2 linked regions of the Lonchura striata genome follow. The protein of the gene in region 2 interacts with the protein of the main gene of each other region in a biochemical or structural test. Links are inferred from orthologs where the notes say so. Each region holds a gene or a part of one and is shown on either strand. Other genes may lie near its edges.

Region 1 (7,789 bases), on a different chromosome or scaffold from region 2:
CTTACCTGCGGCACGAACACACCGTCAGCCCCGCCCCGTGCGCAGTGCCCGGTGTCGGTGCCGCTCCCGCACTCACAGTCGGGGCAGCAGCCGTTGAAGGCCATCCGGCAGATGCCGCAGTTCTCGTCGTTCGCCACCCACAGCCAGGACGCGACTCCGTGCCAGCTCCGCACGCGCACCCGCATCTCCCGGCCGGTCCCGCCGCGGCCCCGCCGGAAGCGCTCCCGCCCCGCGGCGCTTCGCGCGCCCGCCGCGCCTCAGCCCCGCCTCTTCCGCTTCCGGCGCGGGCGCAGCGCGGCCGGAAGTGCGGGAGGGAGCGGTGCCGCCATCATGGCCGACAAGATGGACATGTCCCTGGACGACATCATTAAGCTCAACCGGAGCCAGCGTGGGGCCAACCGGGGCGGCCGGGGCGGCCGGGGCCGCGGCGGCACCGCACGCGGGGGCGGGCCCGGCCGGGGCGGCGTTGGCGGCGGGCGCGCGGGCGGCGGCCCCGTGCGGAACCGGCCGGTGATGGCCCGGGGCGGCGGCAGGAACCGGCCCGCGCCCTACAGCCGGGTACGGATCGGGCAGGCGGAGCTTAGGCCGCGGCGGTGCGGCGGGCTGGGGTGGAGGGTCCGCGCGGGGCGGGGGCGCGGACGCGGGCGGCCCTTTGTCCACTCCCGGCGCGGCTGCGGCGCCTTGGCGCCGGTCAGCGAGGTCCCGGTCTCATTGCAGCCGAAGCAGCTCCCCGAGAAGTGGCAGCACGACCTGTTCGACAGCGGCTTCGGGGCGGGGGCCGGCGTGGAGACCGGCGGAAAACTGCTCGTCTCCAACCTGGACTTCGGCGTTTCGGATGCGGACATCCAGGTGCGGCTCGGGGAGGCGCCGCGGCGAGCGGGGCCTCATTCGCTGGCCCAGGTCGGGTACCCGCGGGAACCCCGCCGGCCCTGCTCCGGCTTGTGCTCGGGGCCGAGGATTCCCGGGTGAATCCCTGCTGATGGGGTTGGTACTAGGTATGCCTACTTTGCGGCGATCGTGGTGGTCTCCAGGGGGCTGGAAAATTCGGTTTATAGGTGTTTTGTAAGTGACTTCCCGGTGTACAGGGAGCGATGCTGTGACTGTGCTGGATCACGCTGTGGTTGGAGGATGCACTGTGAACTCTGAGCTCCTGCTCTGCACAGCTGTAGCTGTCTGTAATGGTGCTGTGGGGCCTGCTGCTTTGTCAGACCACACTCTGGTGGGTGTCAGGGGTTCCCAAGGATGCACCTATCAGTGTAACCAGGTAGTTATTTGTCATAGGAACAGCTCTCCTGTGCTGGTGCTTTGGTGTCCTGTCCCCCACCTGTCGTGTCCATGCCCCGTTTGGGCTGGTCAGAGCCCACAGTGCCTGCAATCGGGTGCTTGGGGCATCTGCCTCAGGGCTGGAGGCTGAGGGGTGTCACAGGGTCATGAGTGGGCTGTGAGCTGTGCAGGAATTGAGGGCCATGTATCCCTGGTGGAGGCTCCTGCACCACAGAGTGTTGCCATCACCCTGGCCTCTGGCTCTTGTGCCCTCACCAGGGAAAACCAAAACAGTGGTGTTAGACTTTCCTCATCAGTTCATTCATTCAGCCTCTCCACACACCCATCTGGCTGCGTGTGGAGAACTGGAAAGCAGCTCTGTCAAGTCACCTGCTCACTGGGTAGTGTGCTGCACTCCACCTCTTTTCCTCGTATAAGTTCAGACTGAGTTTAAATAAGTTTTTGTTTGTTGCAGTGAGGTGGCAGTGTGTAAAACTCAGCCCCTGTGCCTTGTGTGCAGCCAGGACTCACCTTCCTGCTGCTGCACAAGCCCCCACTGGGGGCTGAATCAACGGCTTTGGCCCCATGTCCCATAATTTAGCATTGCCTCAGATGTGGGATTGGTTTTGTTCCTGTGCTGATGCCTCTTTATGTGCCAAGAGAGGCCGAAGGTACTCTGATCACAAATGAGCTGTGCAGCATTGCTCTTTGTGTCCTCTGAGGCAGAAGCAGCAGATCCTGGGCTCTGGGCAGAGCTGAGACAGCCTTGCCTGCCACATTCTGTCCAGAAAGCATCTGCCAGGTGTCCTTTGTAGTTCTCCAGCAGCCCTGCTGAGAGCCCTGTTGTGACTTGGGAGCAGGTTGACACAGGCAGTGCAGTAACCTTGTTGGCTTCCCAGATATAGTGCCTGAGAAACAAAATTGGTGGCTCTGTTGCTGCCTCTTTATTTCCAACTTTTGTGGCAGCAAAGGACACACCTCAGCAGAGGACTTTGTTGGTCTCCATTTTTAGGATATGTTTCTAATGGGCATAAGTCTAGCACAGTAAAAGTGTCATAGTCTCGTGGATCCCTGCAATCACATGGTCATTCTCCTCTGTGAGAAAGGTGTCTGGGGTCTGCGGTATTTTCAGTTGTTGCCACTTTGACTCACCTTCAACAAGGACCCCCAGTTCCCCTGGGAAAAAAAAACAGGTCAGCATCCCTTGAATCTGCTTCACTGGCTGTAATGTGCCTCCTACAGGACGTGAGCGTGGAGTCCTGCCTGGTTTTGCCACTTGTGACAGCTCCCTGAAATCTTGCTGATGGGCTGTGCTCCCCTGTGCCACTGGGTGTTTTTCCAGGCTGTCTGAGGTGGTGGGACAAGCTCTGGTGCTGAGCGTGTCTGTGTGGGGCGCTGCAGTGCTTGCAGCATTGATGGATGGGCTGCTCCTTTCCCTGTCATTCTCAGGAGCTCTTTGCGGAGTTTGGGACCTTGAAGAAGGCAGCTGTGCACTATGACAGATCTGGCCGCAGCCTAGGAACGGCAGATGTGCATTTTGAGAGGAAGGCTGATGCGCTGAAGGCCATGAAGCAGTACAATGGGGTCCCCTTGGACGGTGAGGCTGCGTGGCCCAGCCCCACGACTTTTTCTGTGGCTGGAGCAGAGCACATCCGTGTCCCTCCCCTCGTGCCCGTTTCTCCCACGCCCTCGTCCCTCCCGCCCGTCCGTGCGGCTCCTGCCCCGCGCGTGCCCCGTGGGCTCACGGACGCTCTCCCTCCTCCAGGGCGCCCCATGAACATCCAGCTGGTGACGTCACAGATCGACACGCAGCGGAGACCAGCACAGAGGTGGGGGAGCCCCTGCCCAAGCAGTGCAGGGGAATGTGCAGGAACCCTCCCTGCTGGGGAACGTGGGTCCTGTTTGGCTTCGCTGAAGGCACTAAAACAGTTGTTTTAAAACTTACAGTGTAAACAGAGGTGGCATGACCAGAAACCGTGGGGTCTCGGGGGGATTTGGAGGTGGAGGCAACAGGCGAGGGACTCGTGGCGGGAACAGAGGGAGAGGCAGAGGAGCTGGAAGAACTTCCAAACAGCAGCTCTCTGCAGAAGAACTAGATGCACAGCTGGATGCTTACAATGCCAGGGTAAGTGCTGCTTGGGCATGGTAATGGGCTCCCTACAGCATCTCATCCTGGGAAGCACTGGCAGTCTGGAGCTGGCAGAAAAGGGAAAGCATTTTCCAGGTCCTTGGACTGAAGCAGTCTCTCTCTAAAGCTGAACTGTGCCTTGGCTTGGGTCTGAGCTTCCCTTTCCAGAGCACTTTGTCACCTGTTCCTGATGGCTGAGAAACAGGCTCTGTTCTTGCCAGGCTCCATAGCTGGAACAGCCACTATGAGCAGCAGCTGCAGAACAAAACTCGCACAGCTGATAGGTTGCAGGAATGGGAAGACGAAGGAAAATCTCATGTGAAAGAACTGTGTGGTGTGCTGCTGGGGAAAGGGTGTAATGTTTGTGGCAGAAATGAGCCCCAGCCTGGGGAGCCATGGGCAGGTTGCAGCTGTACCTGGAACTTGCTCAGCATATGCTGTAGCTGGGCCAGGATCCCAACAAAGCTGAGGCCACATGGACACTGTGGCAGCAGAGCTGGTGGTTCAAGACTCAGGATATGTCAGGGCAAGAGTGTGGAAGAAGTGGGATGAGCAGGATTCTAGAAAAAGCTTTGGAGCAGTGTTGGGGTGCAATTTGCTGTTGTGCTCATGGTGTGCTGTGGCTTGGACCCACCTGTCCCTGTCCCCCAGAGCTTGTGGGTTCACCAGAGCCAGGCTGCCTGCAAAGAAGTGAGTGGGCTTGGGTGCAGGGGGGTGCTACGAGGTACCAGGGCTGCGGTGACATTCCTCCCCTCTCTTGCAGATGGACACCAGCTAAAGCAGCAGCGGTGGGCGCAGGGAAGGACTCCAATCGTGCTCCACACTCCTGGCAGGGGCTGCGGCTGTGGCTACTACTACCAAGGATGGGATTTGTTTTACTTTTACGTTCTGGGATAGGTTTTAACTCCTGTAAAGGTTTTTTTTAATTCTCAGCAGACCTGTTTTGTACCGAGTTATTTTTGGGATAAATTTTTCTGGTTGCCTGTTGGGCCAAGGTGGCTTTTTCACCTTTGCCGTAATAAAATAGAACCATGTCTAGAGCTGTGGCTGGTGCCTTGCCGCGCTGGGCCCCGCGCCCCATCGCCCTCCCGCACGTACCGTGATGCTCCGCGCCACTCTGCCGTGTACTGGTCCCGGTCCCGGTCCCGTCCTGCCCCGCTGGTCTCGTTCCTGCTTCCGATCCCGCTCTGCCCCGCCCCGCCGGTCCTGCCCCGCTCCTCCTCGGTCCCGCCCATCCGGTCCGTCCCGCCCCGCCCGCGCGCGCCCTTCCGGGCCAATCAGCGCGCGGTCCGCGGCCGGAAGCGCGGCGGCGGCGCGGCGGCGAGTAACGGGAAGTGCCGGGCGTGTCCCGGAAGTGCGGGGGCGCGCGGGGCCTGGGCGGATCCGCGGCGTTGGCAGCGCAGCGGGGAGCGAGCGAGCCCGGTACGGCGGGAGCGGCGGGAGCGGGTGGGTGGGGGTACGGTTGGGCGGGAAGGGCCGGGCCGGCCGCGCCGCGCTGGCTGCGGGCCGCGGGCTGCGGGAAGGGCCGGGCGCGGCCGAGGGGCGGGCGCGGGGCCCCGGGTGCCCTTGCGCGACCTTCCGAAGGCCGGGGGAGCCACCGCCCCCGGCGGGGCCGTCCCGGAGCGGAGCGCGTGGGGCGAGGGCGGAGCGCGGGGCGCGGGCGGCCCGTGTTCCCCCGAGGGGCTGGGGCGGCTCCCGGCGGGCCGTGCCCGGTGCTCGGTCCGAGGTGCGGTGCGGGGATCGCCCGGCCCCACACGTGCCCAGGTCGGCTGTGCCTCTGGCGCGTACGGGCTGTTCATAAATGGCCGCCGGGCACGGAATGAGGAACTGTGAGACACTGTACAAGAGTCGGACTGCTCCGTGTCAAGTCAGGGCCCTTCCATCCCGACCGCCGCGGGCAGGGTGCGCTTCGAGCCCCGGCGCGGGGGTTGGCACCGGAGCCGCGGCTCCCCCGCCAGCATCACTCCACCGGGAGCAGCGGCGTTTTCCCGAGAGCTGGTCTGAGGGCCCTGACCGTCGTCCGTCGTTTGTTTGTGGTGACAAAAGCTCCCAACCACACTTGATCACTTGACGGTTTCCGGTCTGCTCTGTTGCTCCGCTTGTCCAAGCATTTTTCCAGTGTAGAGGATCTTGTTCCATGACTGCAGAGTGGGGACAGTTTAACTGCTGTGGGTTCGGCTGCTGACACACATGGATAGGTCACAGTCCTGGCTCCAGGTACCCACAGATCTGGTTTGCAGCCCTGGTGCAGTACTGCCAGCAGCCTTTATCCTTCTGGAGTTGTTTGTGAGCCCTCAGCCTGGCTCTGCACAGTTCAGCCATGTAGGTAAACAACAGGTCAGGGATATGTCAGAAAAAAAAAGAAAAAAAAATTCTCCATCCTCAGACTGCTGAGTCCTCTCTGGGCAGCAGCGTGTCCTCCTGTTCCCCAAGTCCTTCTTGCCTGGGTCTGTGAGACAGCCGAGGGGATCAAGCGGGATGAGAATTCCCTCGGATGCTCTTACAAAGCAATTGGTGCAGCAGTGTTACCTGATATGCCCTGATAGCGCCTGGCCTCAGGAAGTGCCAGCTAGGCTCCTGTCCTTCCTGTGGTACTGGTGTCCCCCACTCCCCTGTGCTGCCCTGGGACCATCTGAGCTCTCTGTGTGGAGCAGCCAGGCTGTTTGGGCTGTTCTGGCTTCCCATCCTGGCAGAGCAGCTTGGGACAGGGCCCTGTAGAAACACTTACTGCTGGGTCACATTCCAGCTGCGTTCTCCGGGTGGCTGCGCAGGCTTTCCCTGCGCGGGAAGAAGGAAGGGTGGGGACTGCTGGAACCGGCCCTGCTGCCTCCACAGCTGCGCCTGACGGAGCTGATTAGCTCATCTGATGATACTCTGACTAATGCTGGCCTCGCTGCTGCCCTGGGATCGGGATTCCAGGGTACGGAGTCAGTGATTCCCACTGTCTGCTTGGACACAGCAGGGATATCCCGCTAGTGTTTCTTCCTGGCAGGAGGTGGGGCTCCAGCGTTAGCTACTGCAGCTGCTCTGCCCTGCACAAAACATGCTGAAAATCCGGAAGAATTTGCTGGGTTGAGGGAGCAGTGAAGGTAGCGTGCAAATTCCCAGGTAGGGATTCAGCCTCCTGCTGCCTTCTACAGGCTTCTGTGATCCTGAATCCCTGCTTGGAGCTAGGGTATGTGTCTGAAAATCCAGGAGCCCTTCTGTACCCTGCTTCCAGCACAGGCTGGGGTCCCCTCCTGCAGCCATGGCAGTTCCTGGGGGCTGTGCTGTTTCACAGAGCAGTGGGATCCCCAGGACCTGTGGGTAAGCTGATAGGAAAGGTGAGGGCTGTTCCCCCAGAGCCAAGCCCAGCCTGGCCTGCAGTGATGACTGGAATCATGCTGGTTCTGGTCCCCAGCAGTGTTTTCGGTCCTGGTGGGCTCCTCAGAAATCCTAAGAAGGTTGGGGTGGGTCATGATTAATCTATGTGATGGGTATGCGTGATTCTTTAGCTCTGGATCACAGAAGTAAGGCTGGAACACAGGAATGTGACCAAAGAGCTGGGGATTTGGGTTTTTGGTTGGTTTGGGCTTTCTTCTGTGCCCTCTGTGTCATGATTGTTGCTAAATACCAGTTTGTGGGAGGGGCTCCTCGTGGGTCTGGTGGAGATGGGGCTAGTGGTGCATGGGACAAAACTGTCACCATTGTGTTACACCAGGGGGTCAGCTGTTCAGGAGTGGCAGCTCTATGCTGACACCAAAATAGTTCATTTCCAAACTGCCCAGGAGAGGATTCTAGATCTTGGAGGTGACCAGCTGCTGGCAGTCAGGGCTGTGAATGCCAAGGCTGCTCCCAGTCAGCGCAGCTGTCTCCCAGCCATGGGAGCTGTACTGGGACTGGTGCTGTTGTTCACAGAGCACTGGCTCAAACAGCTTCAGGTGCTGGAGCAGAGGCTGCCCCCATGGCTCCTGATGTCACTGATCTGGCTGTGAGAGATTTTGTCTCTGCTTGGTCTGAACATTGGAATGTGGAGGGTGCCCGTGGATACTCATGCACAGAAATGTACCTACCACTGTTGCAGATAGGTGTGTGGATGCTACTGGATCCTCTGCCATGTGTGTGGTTAGTGTGCTCTCACAGAAGGCTCAGTCACAGAATTTGGGAGTCACCACAAGTTTGGGACTTAGATTCTGTAAAGCTGAAATTCTGCAACTTTCATTCCTGAAAGCTGCAGATATTCTCAGAGCAAGATGTGAGAGTTAGAACAAATTGCGGGCCATGGGTGGTACCATCTAGCCCAGAGGTGAGCCAAAGGACAGGAGGAGGGGACCGGGCAGGATACAGGGAGGAGAGGGAACAGTGTAAGGTGTGTAAGTGAGCGTTTGCTCAGTACTTCTGGTAGTCCTCAAGCCTGGC
Region 2 (7,663 bases):
GCTACTGTCACAATCTAAATAAACACCATCACTAAAAAACCAGTGCTGTCACTGCAGAACAACTTGTACTTGTCATAATAATTATAACTATGAATGAGATAAAAATATTAAGTGGACATAAACAGGAACTGCAGCTAAGTGTCAGCTGTTGGATGACAACCTTATGTATCAGTGAAGGCATGTGTGGGTGACACAATACTAGAGCAGTGATATACAAGAAATCAGCTAGCCCCAACCTTAACTGCAAGCAGCTTTATTTATTAATCTTTCTCTTGTGCAATTACTGAGTTGCAAAACAAAAACAAAAAAAAAATCATAACACTATAAAGGTGATTGAAATAATAGACTGAATGTAAGTGCTGCATAATACACACTTGGTGTACAAAAGGTAAATGAGCAAGTTATTACCAAGAGATGCAAATGCTAATTCACTTAGAATGAATTGCTGAGATCCATAGATCCATATTTGGCACTTAAACACAGTCCTCTGCAAGTTATTCTGTTACTCCCTATCTTGAGTAGAAAATATATTAATATTTGACTCTGTGATAGGCGGACATCACTATGGTATCTTTGCTGTAGTACCAGAGACTAAATACCAGGGAAATGCCAAAATCTGTCACTGGAAGAAGTCACCACGTGTGACTCACCATCAGTGATAAAGCCTTCGGGCTTCTTACTCACCCTGGTCTCAGGTCTCCGGTGAGCACAGTCAGCAAGAGGAACAACGTTCTTAAATCTTACACTGGCAGGAATTGATTGGGCTGCAGGAAAAGCTTTTCAAACAGCCCTTTGGAATTTCAGTGGGAAAGGTGTGAGCTGGCTAGCCAAGCTTCACCGTCGATATTAGAGGCGAAGTTTCCCCAGCCGGGTGGTCAAATCAGTGGGTGAAAGAACAGCCTGACACGGAGGCAGCTGCCAGCACCGCCGCTCAGTGGCAGACTACCCCGCCCACTGTTGTTCAGATGTTTTGTCCAGGCTTTCAGGTGCTGATTTATCCTTTCTGTTCACTGTGTCTCTGAAGAGGGAGGATCCCCCTTCCATACAGCTTTTTGCACGCTAGCTCAGTCCTCCCTCATTACAACACTCGTGCAGGGGATTATCCTGGACATGGACTTCTAGACTTTTTCACTGGAGCGGAGGATTCTGGAGGTGCAAGAGCAGGATCTTGGAGGACACCTAAATAAGCTTCACACACCCATGGTATTTCAGAGAGGGAAAACCCAAATTCCCCAGGATCATACCATATTTTGCCTTTTGAACTTGATCAAAGCTAAGACTGTACATACAAATGTAACAAAGGTAAATTGGAATTCTCAGTGTTGCTACTGGAACCCTTTTATATTTATTGAAATCTGATATGTTAATACCACGCATGAAAAATATTTTTTGGAATTAGATACATTTAGTTTCAAATGACAGACAAATTTAACAAGAGACATAAAAACTATTACTTTAGACATTTATTGTAATTTCACCAAATATTTGAAGTACCTGTGAATTGAATTCATCTGATGACCACAGAATACTTTAAATTCCATTTGTTTCTAGCAAAGACTTTAAAGGGCAATCTAACATACTTTTTGGAAAAATAATTACTATTAATATCCATTAAGGTAACGTATACTTTTATTGTTATTCAAAAACTAACAAAAGAAAAAGCAATTTGGTTTTAGACCATGCAATTACTAAGAGTAAAATTACCCTTGCAATAATTTTAGACAATGTCAGGTCTGCTTCTGTAAACATATTAATAGCTGAGTATGTGTTGAGTCATATGTATAATTATCCCCAGAATGGCTGCCTTCCAGGCGTGTCGGCTGAGTCCATGTATAACTCTTCACGTTAGGGGCATGGTATGGGCAGCACTACACTTATATCCAGGCTGGTGGCATAAATCATAATTGAATTAGGTAAGGTCGAGGTGTTTTCATACCATTTGAAAATAAAAGCAGAAAATCAGAAATTTTTCATGGTTTGTTTTTCTTAGTTCTCCTTTCCAAAATGCCTCACCAAGTAAATGCCCCTTGAACTGTACATTTGGCTTTAATAAAAGTGGATTCTAACACAAACTGGGTATTCACTGACTGATGCTTTATGCTTTTGCAGGTGTACTGAAGAAGAGAAACCTTGGCCCAACAATCATTACGTTCTAAAAGGATTATAGGATTGATTTCTCAGATCAGGCAATAGAAATTTAAAATCTGGTTTTTAATGAAGACCTGGGTTTTGTCATTACTGGTGAAAGACAAACTTTTATGTCTTGCACTTACGGCATTCTTATCATCAGCTTTATCTTTATAACCTACCTCTTAAAGAACTGTGTAATTTAAGTTGATAGGGGCATCTGAAAGCTCTCTTTATTGCCTGTAGTTCTTTCTGTAGTTTCAGTTTCATGGCTACAAAGAATATGATCTCTAACTACACTTCTGTTTTTACTGCCCTGTTTTATCAGACAAACTGCAATTTTACACCTTGTTAAGGAAGCAAGGTGAGAAGAAAACCACATTATACTGTTGACAAGGAAGATAAGACTATTATTTACCCTGACATTTCTGAGCAATAATATTCTTCATGTAACAGGATAAGAGATAAAGCATATCCTGCAGTGATAATGCACAAACTGAAAGGAACTGGCTTCCACATGCTATCAACACCAGTAACGAAACTGAGCCCTAGTGCAATAATCCTATATTTGAGCCGGTTCAGAATGGACTATTTGAGAAGAAAGCAAGCCTTTAATTCGGTCAACTAAAGTAAACACTTTTTATCTGTGCACTGCAGTGAATCATAGCCAATTTATTTAAGTGGCTGAATGAAACAGTTTTTTTCCTGCATTTTTTTGTTTGTTTAATTTCCCTTGCTCTGACCTGCAGGTAAAGGCCATCTGAATGGGGAACAGTACAGTGCACACTAACCGTGGCTGATCTGTGAAACTGTGTATCTGCAGACACTGCAAGATGCCTTAGAAGTTTAACCTACTGCAAAATACTCTTTCACATGAGGGTGTTCTTCACCGTGAAGAACAACAGAGACAAGAAGGAATTAGCCACCATCACTTCTTCCTTGGATCAATATGGCACAAACAAAGCTGCAAATGAAATTTTAGTCCATGTGAGGAAATTGAATATACCTTTAATAGACTGAGATGTTCAGATTCTGTGATGATGACTTAAGATAAATGCTGGTTTGAAATATACAACAAAATGCATAAAAATATCACAAATTAAACTGTCTCCCAAAAAAGTAATTACATTCAAGTTTATATCAATAATTAAATTTAATTTTATAGTAGTTTGTATAATGTGGCCACTCGCCTTATCAGAATGTTCTTTTAAAAATATTTAGTCAGTGAGGCTCCCACAAATTCTCTTGGAGATTATTCCGTTTGTCAGGCTATTTTCCTCTTCTTCCTCTTCTCCCCATCTCGAATTCACCATAGAATGTTCTTTTTTTTTTTTTTTAAAGCAGCTTTTAATTGAAAATTCCTCATAGTTCTTCCCCCAGCCTCTCTTTATCAGACAGCCAGAGGGCAAGGTGTATTAATAGCAGCTGCATGACTCAGAGTTGGTAGCTCAAGTGGATCCCTTTGCACTGAGCTTTGCTGTTTGGCCTCCCTGCTTGGGTTGCCACAGTGCTCAGGGAGCACCTTCACTTCCTTGCATACAAAAATAAACTGTGAAAGCATAGTGGGGGCTGGGATTGCCTCAACCTCTCTGTCCTTCAGAAGGATTCTCCTTACTGCTATTTTATTCTACATTCCCATTGCGGCTGTATATATAAAAAAAATTTAAAAAAATTCATGATCCCATGCACCAGCGTGACTGTCTCACACGACTGAGTGATGAAAAAAGAGAGAACGCCCATCACTGCGATGATATGGAGGAGAGAAGAGGGTCAGTGCTCTCCACTCAAACTGCATTCCGTGCTCTTTCCCTGAAGGCATCGCTGTTCTCATGAGCCGACACAGCTCGACCCTTCCAGCCCTGGCTCCCGCCCGCCGCACCCTGGGGCCGGTGGCATCGCCAGCTCCCAGCCACCCTATCTGCCAGGACACCCGGCCTCGCGCCGCGCCCCGCAGCACACGCCTGCCAAAAAGGCGGCAGTGCGCCTGCCGGGGCTTTGGGCGGAAAATAAACCAAACCACGCCGCCAACTCCCCCTCCCGGGCTCGAGCCTTTTTCGGGGTTTTCCTCTCCCGCCCGGCGCGCTAACGGGAGAGCTGCTTCTCCTGCTCCGCTCCTCACTCAGGCGAGCAGGGGCTCCCGGGGGCAGCTCTGCCGCTGGAGCAGCTGCCCCGGGCTCACACCACACGGGCAGGGCTGCGCTCGCCTGGGGCCCCCAAGGAACGCGCGGAACTCCGCGCGGAGGGCCGGCCGTCTCAGAAGGCGATAGCTCGCCGCCGTCCCCTCACGGAGGCTCCGTCCCCCTCCGCGCCAGGAGCCGCGCTGCAGGAGCCGCGCTCCCCGAGTCGTCCCCTCACGGGAGCCGCTCGTGGCCGCCGCCCCCGCGCCCCTCCGGGCAGCGGCTTCGCGCCGCGCGCCGCGCATGCGCGCCCTCCCGCTCCGCGCGTGCGCAGTGCGTGCGCAGGAGCCACATCTGATAGGGGGGAAAATCCGAACGGCGGCGGCGGCCGCCATATTGCGGAGCTGTCACAGCGCCCGCCGCGCTCGGCGCCGCATCCCCGGCGAGCAGCGCGGGGCGGCCCCGCAGCGCCTCCTGCCCCGCTGCGAGGGGGCGGCGGGGGGACACACCGCCCCGCCAGGAGCGGAGAGCGCCGCGCCCCGAGCATCCTGCCCCGCCGGCTCGTTGCCCCCCTCCGCTCGGCGCCGCGGAGGGAGCGGAGTCCCAGGTGAGGCGGGGGCGCTGAGGCGAGGGGTGCGCGGGCGGCCGCCGGCGGGGCTCTGCGGGCAGCGCGGGGGCAGCAACCCGAGGCGTGAGCCCGCCCGCAGCCCCCGGTGGGCGGGGGGCAGCAGCGACTTGTTGCGGCGGCGGGAGCGCGGCTCCGCGCCGCTCGTGTGCGGGACACCGCCCCCGCCCGGGACCGGGACCCGGCTCGCCGAGCCCGGCTCGCCCCGCTCTGTCGGGCGCCCCGGGAGCGCGCCCGGCGTGCCCGCGCAGCCTGCGCTGCATTATTCATGTCCCCGAGCGGCGCGGCTCGGGAGGCACACCGTAGTAGACATGTGGCAGTCGGGTCGGGCCAGCTGAGTGCGGCGGTGTGGGAGAATAATAAGGAATTACTTCATAAACAAGTGCTGTGGAGCATCTGTTGCTGTCTATTGTTTTCGACAAATGCGCGTTTTTAAGAGTCCTTAAGTACTGACCGACGTAATGGGCGCAGCGGCCCTGAATGAGCCTTTGTGCATTGTTTTTTTGAATGGATTAATGTTTTGTACGAGTCGTGGGCATTTGTAATTAACCTTGTCGCTTAAAGTTTAGCGCGGATAAGAGGTTTTAGTTTTTACTTTGTGGTATTGTGGTATACTTATCTTTTGTCAGTTTCTTAATCTGAACGCGGAAAAAAAAAAAAAAAAAACCTCTTTGGACTCCATGCCAACACAACTAATCACTTTGGTTGTAAGGTGCTGTTAAGCTGTCTTTTCCAGTCTGTGTAACACCCTAGACAAGTATTTCGTGTTCCTCTTTCTAGTACAGACTTTTAAAAAGATTCCATTTTTCAAACTGAGTTACGGGAGTGGCATTTTCTGAGTTTTAAGTAGTTCTGTCCCTGCGGCTGGTTTGTGTCAGAATCGCTGTATGTCGCTCCGGTTTGTTTCCACTGGAGATGCCTGTCGCCGTGTCTGCGCCACGAGAGCGTTTTTGGGGGTGCGTGTGCCTGCGCAGCACCTCGCACACGGAGAAGGTTGTGGAGATGCGGTTCTTGCTGTCGGCTCTCAGCGCGTTGGCACAGCGCTGCTGGGCAACCTGTGCTCCCAGGGAAGATGTGGAGTTGTACAGTAACATTATGGCTGCTGTGATGAAGTTGTTTTTTATTCGTTAAAAATGGCACAAGTAGTAACTGTTTGTTGGATTATAGGACTTAACCTCTATTGATCTATTGATTTAGCATAAGAGGGACTGTGAGAAAAATAAACTGTGAGTCAGTGCAATGTTCCCAGATAAGCAGCCTCCCAGCAAATGGCAATTGCAAGGCAGTGGCGTATTTCCAAGCTCTGTACAGAAGTGACACAGTTGTTCTAGTAGGTTGTAGAACAAAAGCGAAACATCTTTAGAAAATGCATGAAAAAAGGACATGGTGTGACATGTCTGGAGCTGTCCAGAGAGTTTTTGTTGAGTGCTGACTCAGTGAAAAGAGGTGAAAGTGTGTGTAGAGATGACGAAGAGTTCTGATCTGTTTCTGCCATATCAGGGCTATGGTAATAGTACTGCCAGAAAAAGGTTGTTTCACAGAAAATTGGGTAAATCCATAAAGAAAGTGAAGATTTAGATCCACCTACGTGCTGCAAAACCAGGAGGGTAAGACATGTAGATGTTATGACGTGCAAAGGCAGTTCCTGGCAGAGTTCCTTTGGCCTTTGTCAGGATAGGTGAACAGCCTTTCTTCTTCAGCAGTCTTGCTCTGCTTTTTGAGAAGGGCTGCCTCTGTTGCCGGAGGTGAAGAGGAAAGTTGTTTTAGGCACTACGTCTTTCTGTTGGATGTGTTAAATACATCAAAGCCATCCTATCGCTTTATATTGCATTAGATGTCTGTGGGAGTAGGGGAAAGAGAGGATTTTCAAGTTTGTAAATGTAAACAAAGATTTATACAAACTTCTGGAGAAAGAACTGGTTGTGGAAAGATACTGATCCATTAAAGCAGCACCCAGTGTATCCTGCATGCTCAGCAAGTTTATTCCAGAGCTGAAGGAGCCTAGGTAAACTCTTTCCTTTCAATACTGAATAACTGCATTTGTTGGCTAACTGCACCAATAGGCTAATACTGTTCTTTGGATATAAAATAGCTGTACTTTGGATATAAAAAATCTGTACTTTGGATATAAAAAACATTTTTTTCCTTTCTGCTTTAGATATTTATTAATCACTCTCTGAAGTGAAACCTGCAAGTCATGTAGTGCAAAGAAAAAGAAATATGACGTTGGCCCAAAAAGGCAGTTAATCTTTACACTAGAACATTGCAGTTTAAGAACTCTAGCTAGTTTATATGAAGAATGATGAGTGGCCAGTTCATACATTTCCTTTATTTCATGGAGCTAGTTGTAAGAGACTTAATAGCATCATTCAGAAAATATCATACTTGACTTTGAGATGAGATATACCCAAAATTCTGGGTGTGTGTCCTATTTCTTTGCTAACTATATGTTTAGAGAAAGGATTATTGCACTAGGAAGCAACAGTACTTCTATCAGTTTATATTAATGGTTTCCATTTTTGATGGGGTAGCCAGTGTAAATGGTAAGATTGGCCATTCTATTGTTGTTGGACTCTTTAGAATCTTTGAATTATTTCCTGTATTGGATTTATGGGTACTTGAAGTTAAGGTTACTAAACTCAATAAATATTAAGTGTATGTAAATCATGTAGCACGTCTGAAACATACCAGTTTAAAAACTGGCAAAACTGCAAGTAGTGCACAAATATTCTTCAACTGCTGTCAAGTTGCTTTTAATTGAATACTGTGTTGGCCACTGCCAGGTTTTCATTTT

Evidence for each region. The genes of interacting proteins can lie anywhere in the genome.
Region 1: the proteins of RDX (region 2) and ARHGDIA form a complex in vitro, tested with the Homo sapiens proteins (2 studies listed by BioGRID and IntAct). The link is inferred for Lonchura striata from reciprocal best matches to the Homo sapiens genes RDX and ARHGDIA.

Annotation. Positions count from the first base shown.
Region 1 is NC_134621.1:11,932,184-11,939,972, reverse strand, and holds the start of ARHGDIA (rho GDP-dissociation inhibitor 1), read left to right. Parts: upstream 1-4,709; 5' UTR 4,710-4,813; intron 4,814-7,789. Other genes in the region: ANAPC11 (anaphase-promoting complex subunit 11), read right to left, coding at 1-5, 77-185; ALYREF (THO complex subunit 4), read left to right, coding at 331-558, 718-849, 2,713-2,860, 3,029-3,092, 3,211-3,388, 4,155-4,169. UniProt on the Homo sapiens protein: Controls Rho proteins homeostasis. Regulates the GDP/GTP exchange reaction of the Rho proteins by inhibiting the dissociation of GDP from them, and the subsequent binding of GTP to them.
Region 2 is NC_134604.1:72,542,977-72,550,639, forward strand, and holds the start of RDX (radixin), read left to right. Parts: upstream 1-4,618; 5' UTR 4,619-4,851; intron 4,852-7,663. UniProt on the Homo sapiens protein: Probably plays a crucial role in the binding of the barbed end of actin filaments to the plasma membrane.